Linked DNA regions of Schizosaccharomyces pombe. The protein of the gene in region 3 interacts with the protein of the main gene of each other region in a biochemical or structural test. Each region holds a gene or a part of one and is shown on either strand. Other genes may lie near its edges.

The links.
Region 1: the proteins of cam1 (region 3) and mob1 form a complex in vitro, tested with the Schizosaccharomyces pombe proteins (one study listed by BioGRID).
Region 2: the proteins of cam1 (region 3) and ank1 form a complex in vitro, tested with the Schizosaccharomyces pombe proteins (one study listed by BioGRID).

The regions. Positions count from the first base shown.
Region 1 is NC_003423.3:468,878-472,008, reverse strand, and holds mob1 (Sid2-Mob1 kinase complex regulatory subunit Mob1), read left to right. Parts: upstream 1-1,845; 5' UTR 1,846-1,883; coding exon 1,884-2,058; intron 2,059-2,115; coding exon 2,116-2,515; intron 2,516-2,563; coding exon 2,564-2,621; downstream 2,622-3,131. Other genes in the region: mlg1 (1-acylglycerol-3-phosphate acyltransferase), read right to left, coding at 305-1,357. UniProt on the Schizosaccharomyces pombe protein: Has a role in promoting the onset of septum formation during the latter stages of mitosis.
Region 2 is NC_003424.3:1,743,381-1,747,329, reverse strand, and holds ank1 (ankyrin repeat-containing protein), read left to right. Parts: upstream 1-1,692; 5' UTR 1,693-1,732; coding exon 1,733-1,757; intron 1,758-1,810; coding exon 1,811-2,095; intron 2,096-2,311; exon of another isoform or gene 2,312-2,379; coding exon 2,380-2,582; 3' UTR 2,583-3,311; downstream 3,312-3,949. Other genes in the region: dal81 (transcription factor), read left to right, coding at 1-412; potassium ion/proton antiporter Kha1, read left to right, coding at 3,829-3,909.
Region 3 is NC_003424.3:1,443,152-1,446,833, forward strand, and holds cam1 (calmodulin Cam1), read left to right. Parts: upstream 1-1,698; 5' UTR 1,699-1,778; coding exon 1,779-1,781; intron 1,782-1,907; coding exon 1,908-2,357; 3' UTR 2,358-3,182; downstream 3,183-3,682. Other genes in the region: GARP complex subunit Vps53, read left to right, coding at 3,552-3,682. UniProt on the Schizosaccharomyces pombe protein: Calmodulin mediates the control of a large number of enzymes, ion channels and other proteins by Ca(2+). Among the enzymes to be stimulated by the calmodulin-Ca(2+) complex are a number of protein kinases and phosphatases.

The DNA.
Region 1 (3,131 bases), on a different chromosome or scaffold from region 3:
TATGTTATCTTCGACATAGTTTGAAACAGTAGATTGTAGGCCGTCTACAGGCAAAGAGGATGGTTGTAAGGAGAAAAAGTGTACAGAATAATTTATCTCGAAATCTCAAAGCTCAAGAGAAAGCTAATGACTATAAAACTATCGTCCGCAATGTATGCGGTAATTCCTTAACACTGAAAATCCAGTTTGCAATCTGTTAAAAAATGTTCATGAAAATCAGTTAATCTATGTAGTGTAAATGGGTAACTTTTCAACCATATGGTTTAGGGAAATGGAAAGAAATGGGTATAAATAACAGTTTTTTCTAGTGAGAAATGAATAGTTTGAGGAACAACCCAGCAACAATGCACGTGAAAAGTACGGAAAACAAAGAAAGAATTTCAAGTCTGTGCTTCAATCGAACAGTCGTATGCAATTTCTTAGGGCCCGGAAAATTCCCTGTTTCAAGAAGCGTATCGATAAGTTTATCTTTCTCATACCATCTTTGATAAAGCCAATCCGTAAACTGATCTTCTTCAGTGGGAATTTCCGAAATTGGGAAGCGACGAACGTGAATATGAAGCCTTTTGATGGGGACTCCTTCAAAAAAGAGCTTAGGTAAAGAGAAAGCATCGGCGGCATATTTCTTAGGAGAGGGATCAGAAAAATAAAATGTGTAATCGTACAAATAAGTCATCGAATCACGAAGCTGACTGATACTATAAAAGAGCCCTCGCACACGTGGGAGCATTAAATGCTTTGGCATTTTGACTCCAATTTTATCGGCATACACCCTGCTCCTTTGATATGTGCTTTCAACCAAGTTGGTTCCTTCTGGGAAGAGAATGAGACTGACGGAATCACGTACATTGCGAATGAACTTGAAATGACGAGACATAGTCTCGTAGTCTTTGTCCCATTTGCGAGAAAGGAAAATGAATCTAAACAATTGCATACCCCAACCTATAACTGGCAACCATTTGAGAGAGTTTTTTAACATAATATAAACATGACCATGCTGTTTAGCAGTGTACGATAACCACCAAACGTACATCCAGTCCGAGTAAAGTTGATGGTTTGCGATAACTATGTTGCGTTCAGCAGCAATTGTTTCCAAGCAACCATTTCTATCCAAATAAAACAAATTTCGAAGCTCGGGATCATAGGTGAGAGTTACAGGAGTCGGACTAAAAAGCTGGACCAAAGCGGTAAACAGAATACCGGCGAATGATTTTGTAAAAGCAATATATTTGTTATAAAGCTCCTTGTTGACAAAATACAGAGGAGTTCCAATAACTTCCGAGGTATAAATGGTAACTGAACCAACAGCCAAACATAATATGAATGAATACTTGCGAATCGCAATTCTGCATGTCATGTTGTCAAACCTAAATGAATTAAAGGAACCTAAATCAAATCTCAAGAAATAAAAGACTGTTAAATAGAATCCAGAGAAAGTTAGCAAAGTCGGTTTTAGTGATGCCCTTTCGCGTTTCTCACCGCACAGTAAAAGTCGTACACGAACACTAAATAGACACCAATTTGAGCAAAAAAAATCCCAAAAAGAAAATTAAAAGCTCTCTGCTTTCTTTTTAATTTCTTAGCCGCACGTTTAGCACCAAAGTGTAATTCAGGGAATGTCAGTGGTTATAGGCAGTGGGTAAAGAAGTAGCGATCGTACGTTGTCAATTTGTAAAAGTGCTCGGACCTAAACATACGGTCGTATGAATATGATAGGTATTCCAGTAATTAATTTGCGCTTAATATTGGTTGGCTGGATGGTCTTGAAAGTTGAACGGTAGAATGACCACGTTTGTTTACGAGGAAGGGACGATGAGTGGAAGGTTGGCACAAACCAAGCCTACCAGAACCCAACTCATACCAACTTTTTTGCATTTTCTTTCATGTTTGGATTTAGTAATAAGACAGCGAAGACATTCCGTGTAAGGAAGACTGAAGCGGGAACGAAGCATTATCAACTACGGCAATATGCTGAAGCAACGCTGGGATCTGGCTCTTTGATGGAAGCAGTAAAACTGCCCAAGGGAGAAGATTTGAATGAATGGATTGCTATGAACAGTAAGCTAAGATATAAAATTGACACTTCAAGAACTTTTATTAATTGAATACTTCTAGCAATGGATTTTTATACACAAATTAATATGTTGTATGGTACAATCACTGAATTTTGTACGGCGGCTTCCTGTCCTCAAATGAATGCTGGACCAAGTTATGAATATTACTGGCAGGATGATAAAATATACACCAAACCCACTCGCATGAGTGCTCCCGACTATATTAACAATCTGTTGGATTGGACTCAAGAAAAGTTGGATGACAAGAAGCTCTTCCCCACTGAGATTGGTGTTGAATTCCCAAAGAATTTTCGCAAAGTGATTCAGCAAATATTTCGAAGGTTGTTTCGCATTTATGCTCATATTTACTGTTCCCACTTTCACGTAATGGTAGCAATGGAGCTTGAAAGCTATCTGAATACATCATTTAAACACTTTGTATTTTTCTGTAGGGAATTTGGGTATGTGTTTCAATTTACTTACTTAAAGATGTTAACAACAAATTTCAGCCTTATGGATAACAAGGAATATGCACCAATGCAAGACTTGGTAGATAGCATGGTTTAAGAACAGTTTTGTAGTTATTCAGGAACAGGAAATGGGAGGTAAACTCGGTTCCCAAACTTACCAATTTAATGTTTTATTTTATCCCTACCATTACCATTTTATCCAGACCTTAGCACAATTTTTTATGGAAAATTTCTTCTTTTCATTTCAATCATTCACTTGAGTGATTACCATAAAGAATAGTTGCTAAAATTACTCTTTCTACTCCTCCACTTTTTTCTTATGACACTGCATTCTTTTAACTACTTTTGAAAAGTGTGGCATATCGCCTTTGCATAGGCTACTTGTGCAAAATATTCTCGCATTCTCTAAAGTGTCTATCTTCATACAATTCATTTTATTTATAACATTTCATGTATCATATGTCTCTGGAATCTTTATTTCAGGTTTCTGTTAAATACCGAAAAAGACTGCATCGTTATTTGAGAAACTACTTACTGAATGGTGGTGGATGTGAGATAGTAAATGTGCGAAATAATCTGAACTTTTTAATTCCCTATTATTTTAGTC
Region 2 (3,949 bases), 300 kb from region 3:
ACGGAAAACAGCATTGAAACTTAAACTGACAGATGCAGTATATCAGCAAGAAATGTTGAACGTGGTGCAACGTTGTGTTTCTCATTTTCTAGCCATTAACGAATCCCATTTTACTGATTTTTTCTGGCCGTATTCCCAATTCTATTTTTGTATCCTATCATCTGCAATCATTAAGATGTATCTGGACTTTGAGTTTAATGAAAATTTTAATGCTACGACTTTTGGCCTTTTGTCATCTTTCACAAAGCATTGTGTCTGGCTGAAGTTTCGAAATTTTGATTTGGTTTTCATGGCTTATAAGCGATTAAACGCGTTGCTGATTGAATTAAGCTCAGGTAGACCACTTATTGGCAAACTTCTACAAGAAACCTTTGAACATCGAAAGCGTAACTTGGACGAAACCCTGACATAATGATAGTGTTTAGACCTTTCTAATTCTTTTTTTTTTGTTTGGTTTTAAGAGTTGTTAATTGAATACTTATGAGCCTATACCTACCTAATTAAGGATATCTACACATTATTATTTTTTTAGTCAGCTCTAGTTGCTTATATTTTATAAAGTAGTTTAGGATCCTTGTTAATTTGATTAAAGGGCTTCATTAAAAACATCTGATAGAAAAGTTTAAGTGAGTTAGGAATATTCACGAAGGATGGAAAGATAATATTGAAGTGATAACATCCTATCGTTTTATAATGAGATATTGATTGCAACAATAAGGTTTATCAGATCTGAACATATATTTATTTATATTTTAAAGTTTACCAGGTGGAAGCAAAAAAGATCTCCTGAGCCAGAATCGAACTAGCGACCAACCGGTATCATCGAAATTACAGCCGGGTGTGATAACCAACTACACCATCAGGAGTTAGTTGAGAAGTGGTGTCTAATAGAATATATATAATATATGAAAAATTAAATATCTTGTATCTTAAATTAGCCGGAGTAGATTCAAATAATGATGATAATTAGATCCGTACAAGTTTATTAAAAAGATGAATGAAAGTAATAGTAGGCTTGAATTCCATTTTTTAAGAACAAATATGAAAACTCTTGATGTGGATACTAGAAGTCTAAGCAATACAGGTATATAACAATAATCCATATTCTTAAAATGATCATCAGAAAACGCTTATTCTTACATATTTTTACTTCATTACAATTATTTACCAGTTTTTTTCATCTTTTCATACTCTATAGTTTCTTATCAAATATTCCGTATAAATTATTAGAGTTGACTTGTACCAAGATCATCTGTTCAATTGCTTTGTGCATATATTTTACTTATGTTGTTTATTTTTCTTTCAGAGGAAGAAGCCTTTTGGCTGTGTCGAATGCGTAGATATGTTATACAAACGGTTATAATCCGGGATATGAGAACTAAATGTTTGGTCACTATAGGACAGTTTTTCGTTATAAAAGAAATAAATTTAAGTGCTTAAAGTACTAATTTTATTAATTCATTGCTTTATTTAGGTCATATTGCAATCATTGATAAACTCAAAGCAAAGGTTAACATAGGTTCTCAAAATTTTGAAAACCCACTGTTAAATTCATCAATTGCAATACCATTTGGAGAAGTAATGATTAAACAGTTTCTTAGTATATGCTTTGTTTATTCGTAACTGACGAACATTTCCGTCCCCCACGCCCCCCACTTATATATAGAGATCCATTCAGCGGACCGAAGAACTAACATACTTACCAAATACATAATACACTATAGTCACGAGAATGTCAACTGAAGGAGCTAAGCCATGTAAGAGCGCTGCTTGATTTATTGGCTGTATCAAGTTGCTAACGATTTTTTAGCGGAAATGTTAATTGCGGCTTGCCGCTCGAATAATGTTGACATGCTTGAGGAAGTTGTTCACCAACAGGAAGGAGACGGAGTGAGCTTCATCAATAATGCTCGTGATTCACTTGGAAACGATTGTGTTCATGTCTGTACAAAATATGGTTCCCTAGAGTGCCTTGACTGGCTTTTAGATATATCTGGCGTAAATTTGAATAACCGCTGTCGTATGACAGGGGACACACCTTTACACTTTGCCGTTATGTTTATAAAAAAAGATCAGGAAACTGCTTTACGTATGGGTAAGTGAATTTACAAGCCGAAGTGCTAATCATTGCTTTCGTGTTCTTTGTTATTTTCGGAAGTTATGGTCAAAGTCGAGTTGTGTATTTCTACGTTGTTTTACGAATGATTCAACGTATGCAAGATCGCTTATATTATGTAAAATTCAAACAATTCTTTGATATTACTTTCTCATAATTTTGTACTTTGCTTCCGCTTATTTCACAAACATCGATTTTGCTTCGGGATAGTTTATAGTGTTTGCTTTGTTGAGTGTATTTGTCTAACTATTGTTTCATTATAGTGGAGATGCTTATGGAGGTTGGTGCCGATCCGCTTCTTACCAACAACGATGGTTTTCGACCAATTGACCTTGTTCCAGGAGACTTTCACGATGTCTTTGCTTCTGCATTAGAAGGACCTGCGCCTGCTCTTCAATATTCTGCAGATGTCGTTGCTGACGATGACGATGAAGAAGAAGGATCCGGTGAGTCGGATGAAGAATAGTTCCCCTTTAGATATTCTTGATTCGGCTTCCCTGTTGTTCTTCTTCTGTTTGGATTTTGAGAAATACACGTTTTGTAAGAGATGTGGGTTATATTAACGATAAAATATTTGTCATTCTTGGGGATTATTCGATTTCTTTCTCCTTAATTGCGAAAGTTGTAAGTTATGATTTTGGCTGCTTCTCAGTGTATTGAAATTCCATTGGACGCTTTAGCTTTCCTTTCAGCTGCAATCCAGTATTATGTTTGTTGTTTGTTCATTCTTTCATAGACGCTCCAGAGAACGATGTGTTCTACTCCTTAGATACCTAAATGCGGCTTTAAAATTTCACTGCGCAACTTTTGACAACGTCACAGGCCGTAGGCTGTATGTTAACTTTTAGCCCTTTATAACCTCATCCAATGAATATGCTATAGTTTTTTTAAAACGTTAGCATATTCATTCCGATTATGCTGCTTTTCTCGATACTTTATTGAAAAAAATCGAAATCGTTGTTACAAGTAACACTTTCTTTTGGGTGTCGATAAACAAGTCTGTATTAGAAAATTTGGCATTAATTAGGATTTGGAATTTTTTATGGATTTCTGTAATACCTTAATTGCTTGCAGATTTGTGTCGTATTCTAAAGATTACTTTTTCTTGTTTCTTCTGATATGCTGCTAATGTTAATATTTTCAATTTTCTTTTATTTTTTAGAGAAGCAATATAAAATTTATACACGTTTAAATAATTTCGAGTATCTTATATGAAAGTTTTGTGGGGTACTTTTAACAATCGCTCATATTAGAGGAAAGGAACCATGACGGTTCATCAAAAAGTACTGCATTTATTAAAAAATATTCAATAGGTTTCTGCTTTCTATTAGTAAATCCGCTACACTTATAAAATTGGTACCCGAGTTCGCCGTCCCTAAGACGGTGTTTGTCAGTTTTTAAATTTGAAGGTTCCGTTTGTGTCTCACAACTTACATTACCTAAAATAAATTAAACTCATAGCATGTTAATAAGTCTCAATTTTTTATTCGCTAAAAACACGAGGGTATATTGCTGTAAAAACTTACCACTAAGCAACTAGCACCTCGCCATTACTATATGCAATGTGTGTTAGGGTTCATAAAAAATTGCAAACTTAAGTCGATTGAAGTTATCTTAACTCGCATATAATCGAATATAGCAGTAGGTGCATCAATGACTATATTTCAAATATCAATCGGTTTGTTCATATAACAACTAATCCGCTGTTAGGCATGTCAACGCAAAGCATATTTGACGGCGATAATGTCGTTGTCTACAGTGCATCGGACCCATTGCTTTTGTTCATCGTACAGGTATGTCTCATTTAATGGGAAATTTTATAATAACAACTTT
Region 3 (3,682 bases):
ACAGTCTACTAAAAAGGTATGTGGTTCAATAAGGAATTTATTGTAGTTGCACAACAAAATTACGAGATGAATTGAGTAGGAAAATATTCAAACACACGTACTGATAGAGTTCAACAATAAATACTTTAAATTCTCGATCATTCTTATTATTTTATTTTTTATATGTTTATTTTTATTTTTATTTTTTTATTTTTTTTCTATGAAGGATATGAGTACCTCGAATTATTAAAAGTTAAACTTCCCATTTCACAGCATTTTATTAAATCAATTGAGATTTATAAATTTGAATCTTTTAAGGAATTATACTCAAATTTTCATGGTCATTCTGTAGAGATGTCTTTAAACAGGAAGTGCAAAAATTTAAAATTATGAGAATAAACTATAAAATCTTTAAAAACAAAAGACGTCTAAATTTATGATTATTAAAGACAAAAAAATGCTCAATTTGAATTTATTTTTTTATTTTTTTTTGTGTTACATCAATAACAACAAATATTGTTTATTCGATTAAAATATCCGTTCAGACTAAAATCAATAAATTCGGCTACGGTCATTGTATCAGATGTTGAGGTTCTGGATTTTTATACATTGAATAAATCATTTAGAAAAGAATTAATATCGAAATATATACAGGCAATGAAATCCTGCTTGAATAATATATTGTTATTTACTTTTTCAGTTTTCCTTCTTCATTTGAGTGTTCAACTAGAAAAATTATCAGATCAAAATTGGCATATACAAAAAATACAAAAGCAGATTATGCTACACAACAAAAATGCAATTCATAATAAACGTGCAAAAAAACCTTTTAATGAACTGCACTTATCAAAAATGCTTTTGTTTAGCAAATTTTTCAAAGCTATGTCATTTTGCTCAATTATTTGGAGACTTTAAACCGTGACAGTGTTTGTAAATCTGCTCAATAATTAATTTTCCATAAATCAAAATGAAAACAATATTTTCATATCATGAATAATAATATCACTAACTCAACCTCATAGAGGAAAGTGAAAAACACGATTTTCTGTTTACATTCAGCAAAAAATTGCGCTGTAATAACCATTTCCAAATACTGCATTTACAAATATTTTTTGTTAAATCCTTTTGCGATTTAAACATCGAGTACGATATATAAGTTGAATGTCGACAACGTTCCGTTGCGCTATAGCATACTACGTTGTGTATCACTAATTATCACATGTTTGATTTGCTCTGTCAAGCTGTACATGATAAGTTACTTAGGTAGATTACTAAGAGTTATAAAATGAATAACAAAAAAAATAATAGAATGCTTAAATTTTATGAATTGAAATAAACAAAACCTCGTTTCTCTATTCACTTTTATGCTAATTCGGTGATAGGTAACAATATAACCTCTATATCAGAATATCATTCTAAGTTACTAAATGTATTTACCTGTGTACCATAATACAATAGGTCACAAGTAAACCACACGGCAGTTCTAGGTGTCGTTAAATAGATACCAATAAATGCGTAGCTGACATTGAAAAAGTTCCTTCATCCGCCGTTTAGTGGTTTTAGTGCGGTTTATAGCAAGTACGTTACTGGTTTGTTAGAGCATATACGATAATGTAATAAACTCTCATTGTTTGTTGACATCACTGTTGATGGTAGGACTTGCAACATTAGGAAGCGACAACGGTAGTCCTCATTTCTCCAAGGCACTTTAACGTAACTAGAGCAAAACACTAACCGCCAAAAATAAAGGTTAAAAAAAGGAATAGAAGGACTTTAGAGTTACTGATTTTTACCAGAAAATGGTATGTTTATTATATTGTTTGGACATATTCCGATTTTTCCTTTGAAGATTGACTAACAATCGTATGAACGGATGACACTCAGAAAATGATTTCTGAAGTCGTCTACCGTATCGTACATTATTACAGACTACCCGTAACCTTACAGATGAGCAGATTGCAGAATTCCGTGAAGCCTTTTCACTGTTTGATCGTGATCAGGATGGAAATATCACGTCCAATGAATTGGGTGTAGTTATGAGATCGTTAGGTCAATCGCCTACTGCCGCCGAATTACAAGATATGATTAATGAGGTCGATGCCGATGGTAATGGCACAATTGATTTTACCGAATTTTTGACTATGATGGCCCGAAAAATGAAGGATACCGACAACGAAGAGGAAGTTCGCGAAGCCTTTAAAGTCTTCGATAAAGATGGAAATGGATACATTACAGTCGAGGAGTTGACTCATGTGCTTACAAGTCTTGGTGAACGTTTGTCTCAAGAAGAAGTAGCCGATATGATACGTGAAGCCGACACCGATGGCGATGGTGTAATCAACTACGAAGAATTCTCTCGTGTCATTTCTTCCAAGTAGAAGGGTTGGAATTTCTGTGGAATATTTGTAAGCCTTAAAAAAATCAAAATATCCTTGCTGGGGTTTCCACCCTTTTAGTTCTTCTTTATAACCACTCTCCATCGCAATTTGGACAATCTCTTTACCAACTTAACCTCGGCTATTGTCCTTTACTTTTTTTTTCGTCTATGATTTTGAAAAACATTAGTTAGTGTATTACAACGTTTTGGTTGTTTATTTTGCTGGCCTAGGTGTGTCACAAAAGTAACTATGGTAGCATTTGTTGTTACCATTCATCTCATGATCGATCCTATGAATTTTAACGCTTCCTTTGTTTCAACACATAAAGGAATCCTTAAGTCTGGGAACATATACGTTATTGCTATGAGAATACCACGCACTTTTGCATTATTGCATCCTACAATGAATTATTAGAAGCTTCATCTGTCTGTTATATGATGCATTTGCTCGTACTAGTATGTGCCTAGTACTCGCTGTATACGTTGCATTTATGTCCTTGCAATTCCCATGCCCATTATTTAGCTCAATCTTCCTTTTCTTTTTTCCTTCAAGATTTACTGTTCATTATACTAGTCGATGTTAAAATTTTTAGCATTTTTCTAGTTATATGCACTTCTTGAAGCCGTTTTCTCACTCTGGTAGATATACGCTTTGTTTTGTACTTAATACATTACTTTATACAAATACATCTCTCAGTATGAAATTTTGTGCGGCACTTGTCGAAGCTAAGCTATACGTATTAACTAAACATAAATTCATAAATGACATCGTTTATTTTCTTTTTGCATTTCACGTAGTTATTCCGATCGTAAACAGAAATTCATCATTGGAATATGGACATTTCCTAAGAAGGAAGGCTCTGCGCCGGTAAAGTTCAAGTTAGTGAAGTTAAAACTTATCTAAAATTCAACATCATGGTACATATATATTCAAAAAGTTTTTACAAAGTTATCAGTTCTAAACCTCAATGTCCTCCTACTTGCTATTCAAGCCAACCTAACTTCCTCTCACCATCAACCACCCGCTATATGGTTTCGTATATCCCTTCGCCGTCGAAAACTTGTACCTAACTATACGAAATTTTCTTCTTTAAAATTGCCAAAAAAAAAGCTTCGAGTTCTATACTGCGCTGTATTACATAACACTTTGGAATCAAGGGTTAGCAATTACCATAACTAAATTAATTATAGCTCTATGTCGAATGGAAATGATAATTCTCTAATTATCAAAAATATTGGGAATAATGAATTTAAATTTGTAGAAACGCTTCACGAATTATTACCAGAAGATATCACTTATGATGATTTGGGTTCATTACGACTAAG